5 linked regions of the Rattus norvegicus genome follow. The protein of the gene in region 3 binds, or shares a complex with, the protein of the main gene of each other region. Links are inferred from orthologs where the notes say so. Each region holds a gene or a part of one and is shown on either strand. Other genes may lie near its edges. The genes, in order: Sos1, Mapkap1, Kras, Plaat3 and Ralgdsl2.

Evidence for each region.
Region 1: the proteins of Kras (region 3) and Sos1 are in contact, whole or in part, in a crystal structure (PDB 8BE4), measured with the Homo sapiens proteins. The link is inferred for Rattus norvegicus from reciprocal best matches to the Homo sapiens genes KRAS and SOS1. Residues at the interface, in NP_001356715.1 of Homo sapiens: Ser17, Ala18, Ile21, Gln25, Asp30, Glu31, Tyr32, Pro34, Thr35, Glu37, Tyr40, Asp54, Ile55, Leu56, Asp57, Thr58, Ala59, Gly60, Gln61, Glu63, Tyr64, Ser65, Ala66, Met67, Arg68, Asp69, Gln70, Tyr71, Arg73, His95; in NP_005624.2 of Homo sapiens: Lys602, Trp809, Thr810, Lys814, Leu822, Met824, Ile825, Arg826, Thr828, Thr829, Thr832, Leu833, Leu872, Val875, Ser876, Asn879, Ser880, Ser881, Pro882, Tyr884, Ser908, Asp910, His911, Tyr912, Lys913, Phe929, Phe930, Gly931, Ile932, Leu934.
Region 2: the proteins of Kras (region 3) and Mapkap1 are in contact, whole or in part, in a crystal structure (PDB 7LC1), measured with the Homo sapiens proteins. The link is inferred for Rattus norvegicus from reciprocal best matches to the Homo sapiens genes KRAS and MAPKAP1. Residues at the interface, in NP_001356715.1 of Homo sapiens: Ile21, His27, Val29, Glu31, Asp33, Pro34, Ile36, Glu37, Asp38, Ser39, Tyr40, Arg41, Leu56, Glu62, Glu63, Tyr64, Ser65, Ala66, Met67, Asp69, Gln70; in NP_001006618.1 of Homo sapiens: Phe280, His287, Gly288, Phe289, Ser290, Leu291, Ile292, Gln293, Lys307, Lys310, Arg311, Arg312, Lys313, Gly314, Ser315, Phe363, Glu365, Ile369, Val374, Met377, Leu378, Ser380, His381, Tyr484, Glu487, Ser488.
Region 4: the proteins of Kras (region 3) and Plaat3 are in contact, whole or in part, in a crystal structure (PDB 7C41), measured with the Homo sapiens proteins. The link is inferred for Rattus norvegicus from reciprocal best matches to the Homo sapiens genes KRAS and PLAAT3. Residues at the interface, in NP_001356715.1 of Homo sapiens: Ala11, Gly13, Lys16, Ser17, Tyr32, Asp33, Pro34, Thr35, Ile36, Thr58, Ala59, Gly60, Gln61, Asn85, Asn86, Lys88, Asp92, Tyr96, Lys117; in NP_001121675.1 of Homo sapiens: Leu65, Tyr66, Asp67, Val68, Ala69, Gly70, Ser71, Asp72, Lys73, Tyr74.
Region 5: the proteins of Kras (region 3) and Ralgdsl2 are in contact, whole or in part, in a crystal structure (PDB 8B69), measured with the Homo sapiens proteins. The link is inferred for Rattus norvegicus from reciprocal best matches to the Homo sapiens genes KRAS and RGL2. Residues at the interface, in NP_001356715.1 of Homo sapiens: Ile24, Gln25, His27, Val29, Glu31, Asp33, Pro34, Thr35, Ile36, Glu37, Asp38, Ser39, Tyr40, Arg41, Lys42, Tyr64; in NP_004752.1 of Homo sapiens: Ile651, Arg653, Glu660, Asp661, Gly662, Ser663, Val664, Tyr665, Lys666, Ser667, Ile668, Leu669, Lys685, Lys686, Asn688, Arg689.

The regions. Positions count from the first base shown.
Region 1 is NC_086024.1:20,338,115-20,341,623, reverse strand, and holds part of Sos1 (son of sevenless homolog 1), read right to left. Parts: intron 3,103-3,509; coding exon 2,980-3,102; intron 2,668-2,979; coding exon 2,564-2,667; intron 1,348-2,563; coding exon 1,125-1,347; intron 56-1,124; coding exon 1-55.
Region 2 is NC_086021.1:38,112,006-38,116,220, forward strand, and holds the start of Mapkap1 (target of rapamycin complex 2 subunit MAPKAP1), read left to right. Parts: upstream 1-1,412; 5' UTR 1,413-1,785; intron 1,786-4,215. UniProt on the Homo sapiens protein: Component of the mechanistic target of rapamycin complex 2 (mTORC2), which transduces signals from growth factors to pathways involved in proliferation, cytoskeletal organization, lipogenesis and anabolic output.
Region 3 is NC_086022.1:179,929,166-179,932,674, forward strand, and holds part of Kras (GTPase KRas), read right to left. Parts: exon of another isoform or gene 3,228-3,509; coding exon 3,068-3,227; exon of another isoform or gene 1-3,067. UniProt on the Homo sapiens protein: Ras proteins bind GDP/GTP and possess intrinsic GTPase activity. Plays an important role in the regulation of cell proliferation.
Region 4 is NC_086019.1:214,210,696-214,214,684, forward strand, and holds the start of Plaat3 (phospholipase A and acyltransferase 3), read left to right. Parts: upstream 1-1,183; 5' UTR 1,184-1,210; exon of another isoform or gene 1,211-1,306; intron 1,307-1,606; 5' UTR 1,607-1,660; coding exon 1,661-1,669; intron 1,670-3,989. UniProt on the Homo sapiens protein: Exhibits both phospholipase A1/2 and acyltransferase activities. Shows phospholipase A1 (PLA1) and A2 (PLA2) activity, catalyzing the calcium-independent release of fatty acids from the sn-1 or sn-2 position of glycerophospholipids.
Region 5 is NC_086038.1:4,955,331-4,959,633, forward strand, and holds the start of Ralgdsl2 (ral guanine nucleotide dissociation stimulator-like 2), read right to left. Parts: upstream 2,806-4,303; 5' UTR 2,729-2,805; intron 2,526-2,728; 5' UTR 2,484-2,525; coding exon 2,328-2,483; intron 1,285-2,327; exon of another isoform or gene 1,151-1,284; intron 1,060-1,150; coding exon 976-1,059; intron 739-975; coding exon 560-738; intron 455-559; coding exon 404-454; intron 320-403; coding exon 22-319; intron 1-21. UniProt on the Homo sapiens protein: Probable guanine nucleotide exchange factor. Putative effector of Ras and/or Rap. Associates with the GTP-bound form of Rap 1A and H-Ras in vitro.

The sequences.
Region 1 (3,509 bases), on a different chromosome or scaffold from region 3:
TTCTTTATCTTCTTTTGTCCACACACTTCCAACTAATTCTGATGGCTGCACAGCTCTAAAATCATCAACATAAAATGGCACATCACATTTCTCCTGAAGTATACAGTTTACTACATAAGAGAAACTAAACTACTTCTAGAAGGGCTGCTCTTTTATCAATAGGAAGTTGGTGAAAACAAGGAGTATTTATAATTTTTTATGTTTTCAGATTAGAAATATTTTGGCAGACACTCTTGCAATCCAATTATTCCTCGCTGGTTTGCTTTAAAGGCAGTGTCTCCCATGTAGCCCAGCTAGGCCCTTACTCCCTGTGCCCAGCACCCTGAGTGCCGCACTGCTGCACACATCACCCAGTGCTTATGCCTAACGCACACTTCCGCGTACCGTCCTCCCTAGCTCTTCCAGACGTTATCTGCTAGGTTAGGACGGGAAGGCAGCCACTTCAATGGCATCGGTGAGTAACCAGCGAGGCACAGCGATTACTAATTCAGTCTTGGTTGGCTTTTGCTCTTACAGTGGGTAGAAAAGAAAACCCACCCTGCAAAAGTGTCTGAGAACGAACTGTAAAATTCTCACATTATCATTTGGGAACCATGATAAATGTAGGTGCAAGGATTTATAAATTTAGCTCTTTTTCTCATTTTGTGATTAATAATTTTGAGGTTCTAAATAAAATTTCAAACCAGAAACATGTTTTTCGGATAGTTTTATCAATGAATAATATTAAACTATAAGGGGCCATGGCTGGCCGAGACGTAACTGTAGCTCACTGGTGGCTCTAGTTTGCACTGTGGAGCACTAGTCTCTATGTGGCTGCTTTGAGCTCGGTCTATAATCACACACACACTGGAAACCTCACGACCCACAAGTTAGTACAAGCTGCAGCCAGCAAATGGTGCTGCCAGGATTTGAACCAAGCTTACCAAGCAGGGGTAACTGAAAGAGCATAAAGGTAAGCAGATCAGTAATGCCTGAGGGGGCAAAGGACCAGACTGACTGCAGCACCTGATGCTGCACACACACACCGCCCCCTCTGCATCTCATGACAACACTAGAAGACAAAATGTACTCCACTTCTACAATGAACTCAGATAACTTCTGAGCTTGAATGTTGAATAACATACCGGTATAGATCTGATTCAAGTAAAGTGAGTTGTCGAGCAATTTCTATTGGGTGTAGGGTGAGCAAGTCAAAAGTCTCTATATGCCCAGGTCTGCTTATGTGCCACTCAACTGTGGGAGGTGAATTCTGAAATGTAATATTATGACCTGGGCCATTGTCTCTTGCAATTTTTTTCCTTTGGATTATCTTAGTGATGGATTCGACCCATTTTTTCATTGCTTTACCTGAAATACATTTTAACAAACATTTAAATACTCTTTAACACTTTGTTTTTAAAAATGTTTCAAGTAAGACAAGTGATACAGGAATAAATCATTACTATAAAGTTCAAATGAGCAAAGCAGATCCTGTAAGTCCCTCCCCAATCTCCTCATCCTTTCCACACAGGTAATCACTGTGAATAGTGTGAGGTCAAGCTAGACCTTTCCTAGACACATTCTAAAAGTAATTTGATTTTTTGCCTCCAACATTTTGAATCTTAGTTCAAAATACTAGTTTCACATTCATATTCCATATAAAATGAAAGATTAACAAGAATAAGTTCCATACATTCACATATCTAACTAATACTGTACTTTATAACCCAATTATGAGGACTGATTCATCATATGTTTCTATTTTTGTGTGCCTATGTACTTACAGGAAATAATCTATGTAACCCTGTACTTTCTGATTTTTTTTTTCAATTTCTTTTTTTTTTTTTTCCGGAGCTGGGGACCGAACCCAGGGCCTTTCGCTTCCTAGGCGAGCGCTCTACCACTGAGCTAAATCCCCAACCCGTATTTTCTGATTTTCATGTTGACTGGACAATGGATATAAAACCAAATTTGTCTAGGCAAACTTGGGAGTCATATAATCACAGAATTTTTAAAGTAAGGGAAACTCTGAAGATAATCAACTGTAGTTTCTCATGCTTTTTCATAAGTAAACTGAATGAATCTAAAGAGTCAAAATTATATTTCTGATTAGTGGTGTTAAAAAGCAATCTGTCAGTGTGATATACTATCATCTCCTTGACTTGCTCTATTTACCTAACCATGCGCCTTTATCAACAAGTGTTGCAGTCGTAAAAGAATTCCAGCCTGTACCCAGGGTAAACAAAGTTTCAATTAAGTGTTCTAGCTTAGCCTGAGACTAACAGAACCAGTTCTGTAACAGATGACAGTATGCTGAGTCAGCAGCTGCCAATGCTGGGTTTTGTTGTTTTGTTTTCTGAGAAAGGGTCTCACTACTGTAGTCCTGGCTGTCCTAAAACTCACAGAAATCCTCCCCATCTGCCTCCTGAGTACTGGGATTAAAGGTATACTCCACCACACCCAGCCTAAATGCTATGTGATAAGAATGTTTAACATTTTTAAATTAGCTATAACGGCGTCAATTGACAGTAACCATATTGGTAATTTTATCACATATAAAAGTAAGAACTTAAGAAAAACATACCTCTTACTGTTCCAATAAATTCCTCCATTCTCTGTAAAAGGTCTACATCTCTTTCAAAGTCATAGAAATGGTGCTCCACCCAGTGCCGACACACGTTTAACACCCTGTGCATTGATGCAACACAGAATCAAACATTAAATGTACCCGCTGAGACTGGCGAGCGGTCTCCTAAAGCTGTAAGGACTCGGATAAGACTTAACCCACTCCGTTTGCTCCCCTTCACCTTTGCTTAGCAACAGTTTTCAAACATTTCCACTTTTTTCCCCCAGGGCTTTGTTTTTCCCAAGACAGGGTTTCTTTGTGTAGCCCCGGCTGTCCTGGAACTCAGAGATTGGCCTGCCGCTGCCTCCCAAGTGCTGGGATTGGCCACCACTGCCCAGCTTTGAGCCTGTAGACGGTCTTCAGTACAGTCTTACCTCAGCTGTACAGGCTGGATATACTCCTTTCTAAACCTTTTCAGCTCTGCGCTCAGGGGCTGATCTCCATTCTCTATAGCTATGCGATCAGCTTCTGTTGGCTCAGGCTCTGGAATTTCAAATCTAACAGAAAACAGAAAAAAAAAAATAACAAAAATATTATATCAAATCCAAATTCCCAAACTTTTATTTATACTTATCAGTACAATCAAGAGAATAATGTAAGAAATTACTACAGATACAGACACATCAGTGAAAATCCACTTTTATAAGGTAAAAGCTAATGATAATTTTTTTAAAGTTAATATTTTAAAAAGTTAGTTTTGCCAACAGCTAAAACTAACTAGAAGCAAAATAAAAATACATGTAAAATTTAAAACAAGTGAGGCTAATGTCCATTTTTAGTTGTAGAGAACTCTTAAATCAGTACATATAATTTTAAGGGTGACTAATGATTGAAACTTGATTCTTTTTTTTTTTTTTTTGGTTCTTTCTTTCGGAGCTGGGGACCGAACCCAGGGCCTTGCGCT
Region 2 (4,215 bases), on a different chromosome or scaffold from region 3:
TCCTCCTGCTTCCTTTCTGGAATGTTGACTGGCTTCGTCTGTGTGCTTCTTGTACAGGTAACCAGAGGTAGTGAGATTTCATGAATGCAGGGAGCTTGTCATGTCCAGAAGGTACTGTTCCCAATGTCATTGATGGTCCTTTCAGTGAAGGTGTGATGTGTCCTGCTGCTGGGTATTTGATCACACTGTAAACCCCAAGACTGTGTTAAGTTACAAAAAAAAAAAAAAAAAAAAAAAAAAAAAAAAAAAAAACAAGCAAAACAAGCAAACAAACCTGTTTTTAGTTGTGGTGTGGCTTAGTCCTTAATTCACACCTTTAATCCCTCCGACTGAAATACAGACGAGCCCGAAATACAAACCTTTAATCTCAAACAACGAAGGTAAAGTTAGTTGGTGAAAGGAAGCAGCCATGTTTGAAAGTGATGTCTAATTGAATGTCAGGCAAAGTGACGAATCAGAAAAAAGATTTGACAGGATAGGACATGCCCAACTCTCAAGAGGAGGTAAAGAGGCAGTTTTACTGAGAAAGTTTTATAGAGACAGGTGAAGACAGAATGAGTCAGAGAACAAGGAGGAGCCAGGAGATCAGTACAGATTGCTTAAATTAATACCACGCCTACCAGAGCAGTTCAGTCGGAAGCTAAGAGAAGCCAGATTGAATCAGTCAGCTTGGAGAGTAGTCTGAGCCAGAATAGCCATCCAACGATCAGAAAGAACTAGAAAGCAGGAGTGCATTCAGCAGGAAGTCTCGGAGGCTGAAAACGTTCTAGGCCTAGATTAGATTAAACAGAGGCTATAAGCTTCCAGGACTAGGCCTAGATTAGCTGACTTGAGTTAGTAAGCCTCCCAGACAACAAATACAACAGGAGAATAAAAGTTATGTACAATGTCCCACTGTGGCTGAGCACTCCACAGACACTTCATCTCTGCACTTTGGCCAGTTATTAGTTTCTGTATTAACCATTGCTGCAGTAAAAACAAACAAACAAACAAACAAACAAACACTTCTCTGATTAGGTCTGAGAGCTTCGCTAATCTGGGATTTTAGATAGTAGTTTAAAAAGCGTTTGGTATGTCCATGTAGCAAATAATAGTTGCGGTGAACTCTTCTTTCTGATATGGCAGTAAAGCTGAAGACGTTTCCCTATAAAAGTAAGCAGAAAATGCTTACAGCGATCCTTAACACTTGACAGTAAACAGAAGTCAGTTAACCTGCTCCAGAAACGGCTATGGGCAGTACGCATGCGCAAGACACCCCCAGACCCCGCCCCTCGTCCCGCCCCCGGGAGGCCAGGGCTTCTCGTTCCTGGCTCTGGGGCTTGCGCACTGCGTCCCCAGCCAAAGGCGTCTTGCCGATCAGGGACTTCCGGTACGCCGGGTACGGTTCCGGGTCGTGGCGCTGCTCTGGGTAACAGGGTTGCTGTTGCCGGCCGGCAGCTGCGGGGAGCGGCGGGGTCATGAGGGCGAGCCCGGGGCGCCAGGGCCGAGCCGGCCGGTAGGATTGCGGGTCCCCGAGGACTTCGTGGGCGCAGGGTTCGGTGTAGGGGCCGGGAGGCGTAGGGGAGTCAGGACCTCCCTCAGGGACGTGTCCTGGGCGAGGCGGCCTGTAGTGCTGGAAGCAGCTTCAGGTAAAGGTTGCCCCAGCCGTCGCCCCCTCGCCCGCGGAACCCTCCGACCCCTCAGCACCCCGCTGTCCTCGCTGTCCAGCGGCGCCCGTTGGGGCCGTGCTCGGTGGCCTGGGAGCATCCGTTTCCTGGCAGCCTGACAGCTGGGTGTGTGACTTAGGTGAGGAGAGACTTTGGACCTGGTGGTGTGGGGGCGGGGGTGGGGGCGTCCTTGACTCTGGCTGTTTCAGGACCCCGAACTCTGCAAGGTCCGGTGCCCACGCTCTATCCTGTGAAAACAACTTTTCAAAGCATTGCCTGGGCAGTCCTGAAACAGTCCCACAGATTGTTTACTTACCTAGAGTGCTGCTGGGAACTTGGATTCCGTTTTTCTGTTTATGGGACTGACAAGGAATGGTTTACCTGTGTGTGTGTGTGGAGGGGGTAGTTTAAAGAAGTGTATAACTCAAGCCAGAAACTATAAGATGAACCAGGGACCTGAAAATTTGTTACAGCCTCCTTTGAATGACCGCAATATTTGAAACTGGCACTGTCCTCAACTCCGTGCAAAACACCATGTTTGTTACAAACCCCAAAATGGCCAAGTTCAGAACCTTCCCAGGTATAAACAGTCATGTGGGCAGACACATCAGTTTAAGAGGTCGGCATTCACATAGCCAACAAAAAAGGATGGGTCTCTGTTTTGAGCAACCCCCAGAGCCGAAATAAAGTGCGTTCGCTATTCCTAGGTTTAGGAGCCACACACGCTGTAGTCAAAAATTCTTTCTCAGTGATAATTGCACCCATCTTTTTCAGTCACACCCCCTCAAGCTTACTGGACTTTGGGGAGCTGTGTACTCATATATGCCTTTAGCTAAATGCACTGCCTCTGTGACCTTGTGGCTCTTGGCAGCTTTTTACAGTTAACCTTTTAAAAGCTCCACTGTGCTCTTAACCACTGAGCCAACATCCTTTGGATGTTTCATTTAGTAGGCATTCATTGTGCATGGGTATAGGTCAGGTACTGTATGGCAGTTTCATAAGTGAGACCCAGTCTTAATGTGAGCGGTTACTCCAGTCTACAGAGACACGGTGTGAAAGTTTTTCTGTCATACAGAAGTAGTATGTCATGTCAGGTTTTTGAGAGATGACACTCAGTGAAGGGAACGAGCATAACGTGAGGTAAATGAGTTTCAGTTTTTCCTCACTTAATCATTTTAATTCAGGCTGACTGACAGGAAGACACAGGATAGTTGCACAGCTGGTATGAGACGGAGCCGCCTTCTTACCAGGACACACCATGCAAGTACATATTGAAGCAGCTGAGTAGGAGGGAGAATAACACGTTGAAGTGGAGAGTGCAGACAGTCCTCTAAAGGTAGACAAGGCCTGTCGTAGCTGCTTGGTAGGCTGAGGCAGCAGAGTACTTGCACAGATTGCATGAGCCAGCCTGGGCATGGTGAATGGCTCAGTGGTTAAGAGCATGGGCTGCTCTTCCAGAGATCAGAGGTCCTGAGTTCAGTTCCTTGCACCCGCATGGCAGCTCACAGCCATCTGTAACTCCACTTCCAGGGGATCTGATGCCATGTTTTGGCCTCTGTGGATGCTAGGCAAACAGGTGGTGTTTATACACACAAAAGACCCATATACATAAAGTAAAAAAATGCTGCATCTTTTTTTTCCCATATGGAGAAGTTTAATGAGAGAAGAAGAGTAGGAGAGGGAAGAAGTAAAGGCAGACCATGAGCTCGTGGGGGGGGGGGGGGAGGGATAAAGGGGAAGAGGGCAAGAGAGCAGAGAAGAAAGAGCAAAGAGCAAAATGCTACATCCTAAAAAGGGGGGAAAAGCATATTGTCTTTCATAGCATGGAGATAATAGGTGGGTACATGAGTGGAGGATAGATAGGCATGGTCTCTGGCTTTGTGTTTTGTGTGGCATGCTCTCCTCACTAGATATGTGACCTTTGCTAACTCAAGCCAGCGTTTTATTCTTCTTGGGAATGGAGTACTATGGATATTTAGTAAGCTGATCTGAATTAAGAACCAGGGCTCACCCCATCCTCCCAACCCTCCAGTGTGTCTGAGGCTAGCCTGGTCTACAAAGTGAGTTCCAGGACAGTCAGAGCTACACAGAGAAACCCTGTCTCAAAGAAGAAAGAAAGAAAAGGAAAGAAGGAAGGAAGAAAGTAAGAGGTAGAGCCTGAGTCTGTGGCTTGGGCTTTCTGTGAAGCATTATAGATTGGGATTTCAAGTTAGTGACACTCATCTAGTAAAGTCTAAAAGTACTCCAAAACTTAGAAAAAAAAATCCAAAATCTGAGAACATTTCTGACGCCAAGCATTTTGAATAAGGAATTCTCAACTGGCAATTGTAGGTCTGCCTAATATTAGTTGTAAGGCCTCTGGGATATAGTCTTAGAGGGTGAGTCGGTTTCTAGTCCGAGTAAAGCAAGCCATTGCACATGTGTTTAAACTGTTAGAGACTTATTGGAAGTCAGTGTCCCATGAAGTCTTACTGAAAGCAAATTACAAAAGCTTCAGTCCCATCACCAGGATATTGCCATTCTTGCTTTTAGCAGGCATTTGAGATGTAAACCAGAGAACTCAAAGCCA
Region 3 (3,509 bases):
CTGGGCAACACAGCAAGACCCTGTTTCAAAGTGGGCAAAAAGCATGTGGGTGTGCACATGTGTTCACACACACATGCTCACACCCACACCCACACATTCTATTAATCATTATATAGTGGCAAGGTAATATGCATTTAAAATTAGCAAAAATGTACTGATAAAAATATGTATTCTATAACCTATATCTTAAAAATAGAATATAACTTCTTTCATTAAATATATGAATTTAGCTTTAAAATGGTAAAATCAGCCTGTTGTAGGTCGAAGGTCTTGTGCATCTACTGGAGTCTCATCGGTTGCCTTCTATAAAGGTTGAGACTAGCACACTACAACCTAAAGGCCAAATACGGGCAGGGTCAACTGCTCTGGTATTAGCTGACAAGCAGTTTTAATTTTCAAGGCTTTTTTGGGAAAATAATGTTTAAGATACCACTTTGCTCTCTGGGTCTCTGTAGAAAATGCTTGCCATGCCCTGACTTGTATCACAGAACTTCTCAGTGAAATGTTCAGTTCCTACCACCATAAATACAAGTCTGTGGTGCTTTTGTTAGGCTGGAAAAACAACAAAATTTCAAGCAGACAAATACATTAAGGACGGGTATATGTAGCTAAAATAACAAATAAGCAGGGCTGGAGAGTTGGCTCAGAGGTTAAGAGCACTGACTGCTCTTGCAGAGGTTCTGAGTTCAAATCCCGGAAACCACATGGTGGCTCACAACCATCTGGGATCTGATGTCCTCTTCTGGTGTGTCTGAAGACAGCGACAATGTACTCACATACATGAAATACACACACACACACACACACACACACACACACACACACACACACACACAAATAAGCAAATAAAAGACAGTAACAAAATACTCCCCAAAAGGAGCTCCAAATCTTCCCCAAAATTGAAGGTAAAATTTATTAAAATGTACCTTGGATATTATAAATTACCAAAATTATTTGGAGTAGCTCTTTAAAATCTTCCAAAACTTTAAAATATTAAATTATTTTTAAGAACTATTAATGATTTTTCAAAGCAAATTAATTTCTAAAACAAGTCTAGTGAAAAGTGAGCATTCAAGTTATAGTTAGGCAATATATTGTATAAAAAAATCCATAAATTACGAATAAATACAAGAAGGGCTAAGCACGGCTTAAGAAGTGTCTGTATATCTTAACTCTATACATGTTAGACAACTTACACTATCTAAAAACCAAATTTAAGTTCATCTATTTCTATACCGTATGCCTTTAACCTGACAAAATGAACTGGGCATGGTGGCATATGCCTGTAATCCCAACACATGGGAGGTAGAGGCGAGAGTTCAAGGCCAGCCTCTACTACATAGTAAGTCTGAGATTTGCCTGGGCTGTCTCTGTCAAAACACAAAAACCAAACATAAACAAAGCAAAACAAATTTTTAAATTTCTAAATTTTTAAAGGTGTTGGTAGTATGTGTGTCACAAAACACTGTTTTTTTTGGTTTTTTGGTTTTTTTTTTGGTTCTTTTTTTCGGAGCTGGGGACCGAACCCAGGGCCTTGCGCTTCCTAGGTAAGCGCTCTACCACTGAGCTAAATCCCCAGCCCCACAAAACACTGTTAAAGCTAGAAAGCTATTTTAAAAGGAGAGGAGGTAGTGTTCTAAATCAATAATGAACTACAGTATACCAAAGCATTAATGTCAAACACAAATAATAAATTAAATTTAAGCTATTTAAGAGCTATTTAAGGCTCTTACCAAATGAAAGGTGGAGAGCAACCCAGAGATGATAAGCCAAGAGACTCCTTTCACTGTGCTCTATGGCTTCTACTCAAACTGTGGCCCAACTCTCCAACCAGCACCACCCGACAATGCAAAGGAATGCGCAACATGGGCTTCAACACAAACACAATGTCTGGACTTTGACTTTAATAAGGTCAGCTGATTTGTGTGCATATTCTAGTCCAAGAGGCCCTTTCTTCTGTGTTTACAGCCAGCCCAGTCTCGGGCTTTTCCTTTTCTCCATGAAATGTCAACTATGATTGATGTTCACTAGTATGAAAGGTGCCTTTGCAAGTTTAAACAATTGAAGGAGTAAAGTATTAATGGTAAAATCTATACAGTATGTTTTCAATAAAATTCCTTACATTGAATTATTTCATAGGAGGACTTAGGGAAAAGTTACAGATATTATAATTATATGTTCTGGGCTGCTTCTAAATAAAATCAAGAAGACTTGGAAATAGAACATAGAAACAAACCTCTCGTGCCTTTGGACTGCGGGATGGACTTGGATAAAATAGCTCCCTACCCTGAAGCCGAGTGATGCACACCAAGTCTCTAGAAACTAAGTAAACTGTGAGCCAACTGGCACGCAGGAGATACCCACAGACAGTCAGACTACAGAAACTCACTTTTTAAGAATATCTAGTTGCTTTCTAAATATTCCCTTACTTTAATCACAACTTTCTCCCTGAAGAATAGACCCTCAAAAACTTTCCGCCAAAAAATAATTCTTCAAATACAACTCAACAAATCCTAAAAACTGCTTCTAAAACAGGAAAGTCAAACTTTATTCCATCATTCTGTCTTTATCATTTCAGTGGGAAAAAATTTCCACATTTCTTGAATCCTAAATGTAAAATGTACTCTAGGCAGAAGAAACAATTTCAAAATGAAAAGAAAACGGAATACCAGGCATAGTGGAGGACATCTGTCATCCCAGCACCTGCAAGACAGACTTAGGGGACTGAGAGTACAACCCCAGGCTGGGTACAGAGACCATTGCAACCCCTACCATCTATCTACACCCCCCTCTCTCCTGTGCACACATGGGGGGTGGGGGGATCCAAAGTAATATTGTGGTTCCTAGATAAGAAGTACTATCTACTTGAGAAGACATTTGCCAAATAAACATTATTTTCTATGTTAGAATAATAGAAAGACTGGAGAATCACATGAAATGAGGAACATGTAACAATAGTTATGGTGGCAAGTAGACCCCAATGACACCATTTGGAAATGGAGAACAGTGGTGAGCATCATTTGGAGCACCCGGCAGAGTAGACGCACATCTCTCCGGTGGCACTCACCTGTCTTGTCTTCGCTGAGGTCTCAATGAATGGAATCCCATAACTCCTTGCTAACTCCTGAGCCTGTTTCGTGTCTACTGTTCTAGAAGGCAAGTCACACTTATTCCCTACTAGGACCATAGGCACATCTTCAGAGTCCTTTACTCTTTTAATTTGTTCTCTGGGGAAGAAACAAATGGAAGCAGAAGCATAAGTAACACAAAAATACTTCAAACTTTGACCTCAACTTCATCTTACAAAACTGTATTGAATCGTTTCTTCATATGAATCCTAGTTTCTACCCTACCAAAATGTCCTCATTTCTCTTATTTTCCCTCTAAAACAAAAACCTTACATATCTGTTTGTTCATATGCATATATAAAATAAGAAATATACTAAAGTTTCAAATCAAAATGTTTAAAATATCTTACAAACAAGATATATATACATAAATGTGTATGT
Region 4 (3,989 bases), on a different chromosome or scaffold from region 3:
CAGATCCCCTGGAACTGAGTTACTCATGGTTGTGAGCCACCACGTGGATACTGGGAACCAACTGAGGTCCCTTGCAAGAGTAGCAAGTACTTTTTTTCCCCCTTGCGATCACATTGTCCTGTTTTTGGTTTTTTTTTTTTTGTTTTGTTTTGTTTTGTTTTGTTTTTATTATATATATTTCTTTACTTACATTTCAAATGTTATTCCCTTTCCTGGTTTCCTATCCATAAATCCTCACCTCCTTCCCCTCCCCCATACGGGTATTCCCCCCATCCATCCCCCTTACTGCACCCCCCATATTTCCCTGCACTGGGGGTCCAAACTTGGCAGGACCAAGGGCTTCCCCTCCCACTGGCGCCCCAACAAGGCTATTCCCTGCTACCTATGCAGTTGGAGCCCTGGGTCAGCCTTTCAGTAGTGGTTTAGTCCCTGGAAGCTCTGGTTGGTTGGCATTATTGTTCTTATGGGGTAGTAGCAAGTACTCTTAACCTCTGAGCCATCTCCTCATTTACCGTTGTTGTTCTTATTTTTATTTTTATTATTATATTCTGGATTTTTGAGGTAAGGTCTCTCTCTACATAGCTCTGGCACTCCTGGAACTCACTACATAGAGCTAGCCTCACAGAGATGAGCCTGCCTCTGTCTCCTGAGCGCAGGAAACAAAGGCATAAACAACTATACCTGGCTATTATTATTATTGTTGCTATTATTATTGTTGTTGTTATTGTTGTTGTTGTTACTACTACTATTATTATTTTGGAGACAAGATCTCCAACCGTAGCTCAGGCTAACTTTAAACTCATGGCAATCCTCCTGCTTCAGCTTCTCAAATGCTAGATTTCAAGCATGTGCCACTCTTGACAAATAGCCCTTTGCTGTCACTCATGAAAAAAGATTAAATGTAACTCCATGTGACATGTTCTTATATGTTACAAACTGACCGAGGGTTGTGTATGAGCTGTCAAGGGCCTGGGAATCTGGGGCAGAGGAGCAGAGAGGCCAGGAACGCAGCGGGAGGGAGGCATCTAAATGAGAACAGAGTAGCAGGCCCTTGGCGCTGCTCTCATTAGCCAGTTACGGGAGGAGGGGCGGGGTGACCTGGCGCGGCCTGGACTCTGGGGCCATTAAGCCGGCCCCCAATGCGCCGGCCTCCACTTGCCTACTTGGGGCGTGAGGAGGTTGGAGAGTTTTTTCTGGGACCTAAACAAAGGTGAGAAGCCCGGGTGCCTCTGCGGGTCCCCGAGGGCTGTCTGGGAGGTGGAGAGCGATTCGGCAGGCGTAAACAAGTCGGGCATAAACAAGTCAGGCGAGTAGCTGTCACCCGCCTGGCATCCGCCGTGCGCGGAAAAAAGGAGCCAGGGGCGCGCGAGTGCCTGGCCAGGGACCCTGCGGGAGCCCAGGGAGCCCAGGGATCTTGTGAGCCGCTTCTGCCCTACAGCGAGGGATTTGTCGATTCAAGGGCAAGCGCAGGGCAGAGCGGAGGAGAGCGAGAAAGTTTGGTGGGCGTTTCTGGAGAGCCCTGCTAAAAGCGTTTCAGCTCCTGGAGACTTGGGGACCCTGCTTCTTTAGTTAGAGACATAATGAGCTCTGATCCTCTGTTCCTTAGGCATCCACGGCGCTGCTAAGCTGAAGTTGAGCCTCACATATCCTGGAAAGGAAAATGCCCATAGTAAGTACAGGGTGAGAGGACAGGGAGAGGAGAGAGGGTGGGTTAGGGATGGAGGTAGTGTTTTAATGGTGACTCTTGTCTTCTCGGGGTCTGACTTGCTGTTTTGAAGAGAAGAGCTTTGTAATGAGGGAGCTATACTTTCAACCCTTCGGGGATCCTGTATGAGCTGCGGGGTCAGTTGCCACCTGTTGAGCGTCAGTGCTTGTTGAAGTGGGCAGGTTGGAAGCCACCCTTGTAACAGGCTCAATAGGAGACTGAAGAGGGAGGGAAGTTGGGGGTTGGTCTTCCTGTCAAACCAGGACCCTGGGCAGGTTCCTGGGTCGAATGTCTGAAGTTGAATCTGCTGGATTTTTGTCTTGTCAGCTGACTCACAGCCATCCCTGCTGCCAGCAAATACTCAGCTCTGGCCGTTCCTTCTTTCTTCCCTCCATCCCCCCTTCTCTTAACTTTCTGATTTTTGTTTTGCTTTTGCTTTTGTGGCCCAGGCTGGGCCTCAAACTTGCTATTTAGTGAGGACAGTTTTTTACTTCTGGTTTCCCGGCCTCCACCTCTTGAGTGCTAGAATTATAGATGTGAGGCACCATACCCAGTTTTGTGAAGCCCTTCTGCATGCTGGGCAAACACTCTACCGACCAAGCCACACCCCAGCCCAGGACTCTGTTTGTTAACCCTTGATGTCTTGAGATGTAACCAGGCAAATGTCTTCTTCACTTTAACAGGGCTCTGTTGACTTGGTTCAGGTTGTAGGTTTTTGCAGACTGGGGCTTGTGCTCCAGCTAAGTACCTGTTTAATCAAGTTCAAATTTATTCTGTTCCCACGTGAAAACACCACTTAGCAGTTCTCATAACAGCCCAAGGGTCTAGCTCTAGGCTGCACTTTCTGTTTCTGGTATTGTGAGGCCAGGCTGTTTTGTTTTCTGTTTGAACCCAGGAAAACCCAAGACCACAGAAGTTAGCACTGTAAACTGTGTCTAAAGCTTGAACTCTGCGGAGCCATGAGGAACTGACTCTTAGCAAAATACATGCGTGTCTCAGTTGTGTGTTTTGATTGTGCAACTGTGTGTTCTTTGATTTAACTTTCTTGTAGTAGACAGTTTAAAAAGCATATTTGTATATATGTATGTGTGTGTGACATTTGAGTGTGTGTGTGTGTGTGTGTGTGTGTGTGTGTGTGTGTGTTTTGGGGGGGGCATGCATATGCCATGGCAAGCATGTGGAGGTCAGAGAGCTATTTGCAGGTCTTCACTATTTGGGTCTTGGGATTTGAACTCAGGTCATCAGGCTTAGCAGCAATCTCCTTTACTTGATAAGCCATATCAATGCCCCACCTTTTTTTTTAAATTAAAAGAGTAAGAAAAAATATGCACTAATTGCAGGCTTATATAGAAGTTATTAGATCTCATTGATGGTTCCTCTCTTCTCGGGCTAAGATGGAGACTCACCATCCTTTCTCCTGCCCTAGCTCAGTACGTATTGTCATTTCATCTACAGGGGTGTGAAGGAAGGTGGGCATAGTGGCACATACCTGTAACCCTGCCACTCGGGATGCAGAGTTGGAGGCTATCCTGGCTATGTAGAGAGACCTTGTTTCAAACAAAATAAAACATGACTGCTAGGTAGTGGTGGTACATGCTTTTAATCCCAGCACTAGGGAGGCAGAGGCAAATGGATCTCTGAGTTTGAGACTAGCCTGAAACCAGAATGAGTTCCAGGACAACCAAGGCTTTGCTGAGACACTTTGTCTCACAAAACCCTAAACAAACAAACAAGCAAATAAATAATAAATGTGGGGGGGGGGAGAAAACAGAGCTGAAGAGATGGTTCAGTGGTTAAGAGCACTGGATGCTTTTCCAGAGGACTGGATTAAATTTCCAGCACTCATATGTTAGCCCAGCTAAGAATGGGCTGTAATTCCCATCCCAAGTGACCTGACACCCTTTCCTGACATCCAAGGGTGCTGTACACATGGGATCCACAGACCTATGCAGTCAAAACACCCATACGCATAAAGTAGAGGAGGAAAAAAGTTTAAAAAACAAAGCCCTAATCCAAACTAAAAATGCACAGCTGGTGGTGGGAGGCAAGAGTGGCCCGCTGGGCAGGGCTTTATGGGAGGAGGTGGCAGGAAAAGTTCAGCCTAGTTCTCTCCTTGCCCTCAACTTTCTAACTGGCGAGGAGGTTTGGATGAAAGTTCCTTTCATCTCCGCCCACAGTAATGAGTGTTTCCTGGAAATGAGAACTAAAACTGAAACCTGAATTCTGAAAGGCCAGCGTGCCAATGGTATCCAGTGGTGACCCAGTGGGCCACTTGGGCCTCCCA
Region 5 (4,303 bases), on a different chromosome or scaffold from region 3:
GGTCAAAGGTCAAGGTCTCACCGCATCAAGCAGGGTCAGCTGTTCGGCCAAGTGGTCAGCGAGGAACACCAGGACATCCGTGGGGTCAGCAGGGGAATCGTCAGGAAGGGCCAGGGGCTTAGGAAGGTCGGGGGCCCGGGGGTCCACCCGGGCCCGGAGGTTTCGGATGAGGTCAGCACTGCCCCCCACAACACCCTCCCGTGCTGCATACCCTGTCCGAAGCAAGAAGCTCTCAAGCCGGTCAAGTTGACCCTTGACCTCAGAGCCAAAATCCTCAGGGTGAGAGGCCAGCCAGGTTGAAAGTACAGAGATGGCTACCCTGAGAGAAGGGGAACCAGCCAGGGGTCAGAGGTCCAGCCTCAGCTCCCTCTGAGCAGACTGCGGTTCAGACAGGGCCACTCACCCTGTGGTCCTCTCTAGCTCGCCCGGAGGATGCGATTCGAGGGCTTCCAGCCTGGGAAGGAGGAGAGAGTCTACCTTGCAGCTTTTTCAGCCCCCACCCGGGTGCTGAGAGTTACTCAGAGGGAATCCAGGAGCCTCCTCACCCTTGGCTCCTGACCTGTCAGCCACAAGCCCAAACAGGGCAGGAGTGGAGGTGAAGGCCCGGTGGGTGGCCAGCAAGGCTGGAGTGAACGTCATGTCAGCCCCTGATGTCCTGGCATCCAAGAGGTGTCTGACCAGGGCCTCCAGAGTACCAGCACGGAGCCTTCGGGAGGAGCGAGGCGGAGGCAAGGGGGCCTGGAGAACATGGAGGGTGTCTCACTGATGGTCTCCTCAATCTTACTGCTAAACATCATCTAGGATAGTCCAGATCTAGTTTTTTTTTTTTTTTTTTCTCCACAGTTCAGAGTTCAGACATGGCTTAAATCACACAAGAGTGCTACCAGACCTCCAATCTAGTGCTCTGGCCAAAAAAAAAAAAAAAAAAATCAAATTAAAAACTGAATGTCAGGACCGCAAAGCTTATGATCTCACCGAGGGATCAAGAGGCCTATACTGGCGGCTTGTGACAGTAAAGGTCGCACCATCCTCCTCCTCATCCCAGATTGACACAGAAGCCTGGAGGAGCAAGAAGAGGAAGTGAGTTCCACAGCACCTCCAGTCCCCAGCCATCGTCCCCAGGCCCTGCTCCTCCCTCTGCACCCCTCACCTGCGATGGCAGGGGACAATACCAGCGAGTTCGAGGGGTAGAGGGTACTGGTGACCCCAGGTCTACCCCACCCTGGGGCTCAGACAGCCCCACTAGCCACCTCAGAGCTCCGTTGAAGAGGTTGGAGTCGGGGTTTCAATTGAATGCAGGAACCCCACTTCTGGTCGCCCCCAAATCCCCTTGCCCCCACAGCTGAGCCCAACACAGCAGAAAAGCGGGGTGCAAAGTCACAAGCAGAGCGCCCGAAGAAGCGCAAAGCCAAAGGCGGAGAGACCTGAAGCTGAAACTTCACAAGACCCGCCCTCCCTGACTGAACCAGAGGAGCCCAAATTCCGCAGACTCCCTTCCCCGGATCCCCAATACAGCTTCCACTCAATCTCAGCACTGGGGACCCCCTGAAGGTGGCGGCTCCAATCCCAGTTACAAGAAGGGGAAGTAGGGATGATGGGGGGGTGGGGGCGGTAGACTAAGAGTCATGTGGCCCTAGCCCCTCCCCCGACCGATCCCGAAAAACCAGCCTTGCCAGTCACCCTAACTTTACCAATGTCGGGGCCCAGAAGTCTGAGTCCTCAGGCTCCGATTCTAACTTCTGAACCCTCCTGAAACCCTAAATCCTGCAGCTACAGTCACAACTACTAATCCCTAAGGACGAAGATGACCACGCTCTACCTATCCTGGGATCATCTCTCCAGGTGCCAGAACCTCTTGGCTCGCTGCCCTTTATTGAGCACCAGGGGGTGGGGGAAGAGGCGGTGAAGCCAGAGGCTTCCCTCCCCAATCCTAGAGTCTGAGGAGCCGGTTACTGTGGAAACAAACCCCTCCCAGCCAAACAAAAACGAGGAGGGAGACAGGGACCAAGACACAACTAACTGCCCAGTGGCAGCCGTCAGAGGCAGGTGTGGGCAGAGGGGGCCTGAGCCCCGCAGGCACAGCCATCCTGCCTGCCAGCCAGACATTCCAGGCAGGAACTCGGCAGGTTCCTGCGGGCGGGTTCCGAGTCAGACGGACAGGGCGAACTTCAGAGACACCAGGACCCGCAGCCAGGGGACAGATATCCAGAGAAAGAGCGTGGCGGGGTGAAAGGGAGGCAGGGAGGAAGAGACCGAGGGACCCAGAAACACCAAGAGAAGAGTCTCAGAAATACTTAATGCCTTTCCTCCCGCCACCCGCGTCTCACCTCTTCTTCTTCCTCCTCCTCTTCCTCCTGCCCCCCGCCCACGGCCCGGCCACCTGGGTCCCCACCCTCTTCGGGGTCCCGGCTCCGGAAGCTGCTCAACACGACTCCCCCGGGGGGGTTCGTGTCCAAAAGCAGCCGCAGGGGCCGCGGGAGCATGGCCGAGAGAAGGAATCAGCGGGGTCGGGCCATTGGGGGTGCCTGGGGAGAGACGGGTGGGATTGGGGTGGAGTCAGACGGGCGTGGGGACTTGGGCACGAAGGGACCTGGGTGGGAGTCCCTCAGGAAGGCTGGGGGGGAGGGGAGATACAGGAGTAGGGAAACCCGAGCCCTCGGGGCGTGCTAGGGGTTAGGGGCATAACTACTGCGGAATGGGCAGGGTCACCCGGTGCTCCGGCTCTGACCTGCTCGGGAAGGGTGAGGGGCTGCGCGCGGGTCCCGGGCCTCTGTTCTTGTCGGTCTCTGGCCCTCTACCGAGTCCCCTCCCTGGCTTTTCCGCGATGCCCCCTCCTGCACCCCGCCGGGCTCCCGGGCCCTCCCGCCCTTTCCGCTTCCCCCCTCCCCGCGTCCGCCCGACAGCAGGAGCCAAAAAGGGAAGGAAGTGAGGACAGGAGCCAGGGCTACCGACTAGGGGAGTGCTGGATGCCAGGGGCTGGGACGCAGTCTCCAGGTGCCCCACTCCACTGTCCCCTACTACCCTACTCGGGGATTCCGAAGCCCATGCCTCCCAGCACAGGCAGGCGGGAGGTCAGGGTCCTGTCTCAAGCCTCCACGGGAGGGCAAGTACGGGATTTTAAATCACTTTCTCTAACGAGAGCAGTGAGTGCAGCAACTCCCGAGGGAAGCGCCCTAGTGAGGGCGCGACCCCGTTACTGGGGCCCCAGAATGACACCACCCGCGCCAGCACGAGTGCAGCGGAGCAAATCCGCGCCGAGTTTTCTGAGCCGCCCTTAAGCCCGCCCACTCGCGCGGGGAGGGGGACGGAAGTCGGCTAGTGCGCCACTTCCGGTTTTACTCTGGTCCGTCGCTCCCGGCCTCCGGCTCTCGCGGTGCGCCAGAGCGCACTCAGTTCCTAAGATGGCTGTGTCATCGCCCCGCGTGTGGGAAGACTGGAGGGGGACCAAGATGTTGGCTGTGCTTGGAAACCAGAGAACGAGAGACCCTCATGAAAACTCTAAAAGACTTTATTGGCTCACGAGGCCCGGCAGACAGGAGTGGACAGCCATCCTTTAAGTACAGCCGGTGGACTGCACGGGGGACGCTCGTGAAAGGACGAGGCAAAGGAAACTCTGTGGTACGAATGGACGGCTGGAGAGGTAGGCATTAGTACTCCATAGGCGACACATGTACCCCTTCGTCTCTAGACTACTGTTGTGGGTTGTCCCAAAGGTCCCTAGAACGCTAAGATGCTATGTGGCCCTATCGTCAATTCCCTGGGCAGTGGTTCTCAACCTTCCTAATGTTACAGTCCTATAACACCGTTCCTCTAGTTGTAAAATTCTTTTGTTACTTCGAAACTGATTTTGCTACTGTTGTGAATCCTAATGTAAATAAATGTCTGGTATTCCCGATGGACTTAAAGGGGTCATGACCTACAGGCTAAGAACCGCCTCTCTAGGGCATACAGTAGTGTCCCGTCCCCCCCCCCCCCCAGGTGAGGACGGAACCCAGGGCCTTGCGCTTGCTAAGCAAGCGCTCTACCACTCAACCCCCAGTGGTTCTTCTTGACCTGTGAATATATGTTCTTGTATTTGGTTCTCTCAACAAAGCCCTGCTACGACACCCTGACTGACCTGAAACTCCTTATTGTAGACCAGGCTGGCATGGAAATCAGAAATCCACGTACCTCTGCCACGTGCCTTGCCAGGGTCAAATGAGTGTGCCACTAACTAAGCCTCGCTTTTTCTCCCCCACATTTTAAAATTTTAGTTCTATTCCAATAGCTGTAGCCCACATAACAAAAAATTCGTTGGGCTTCT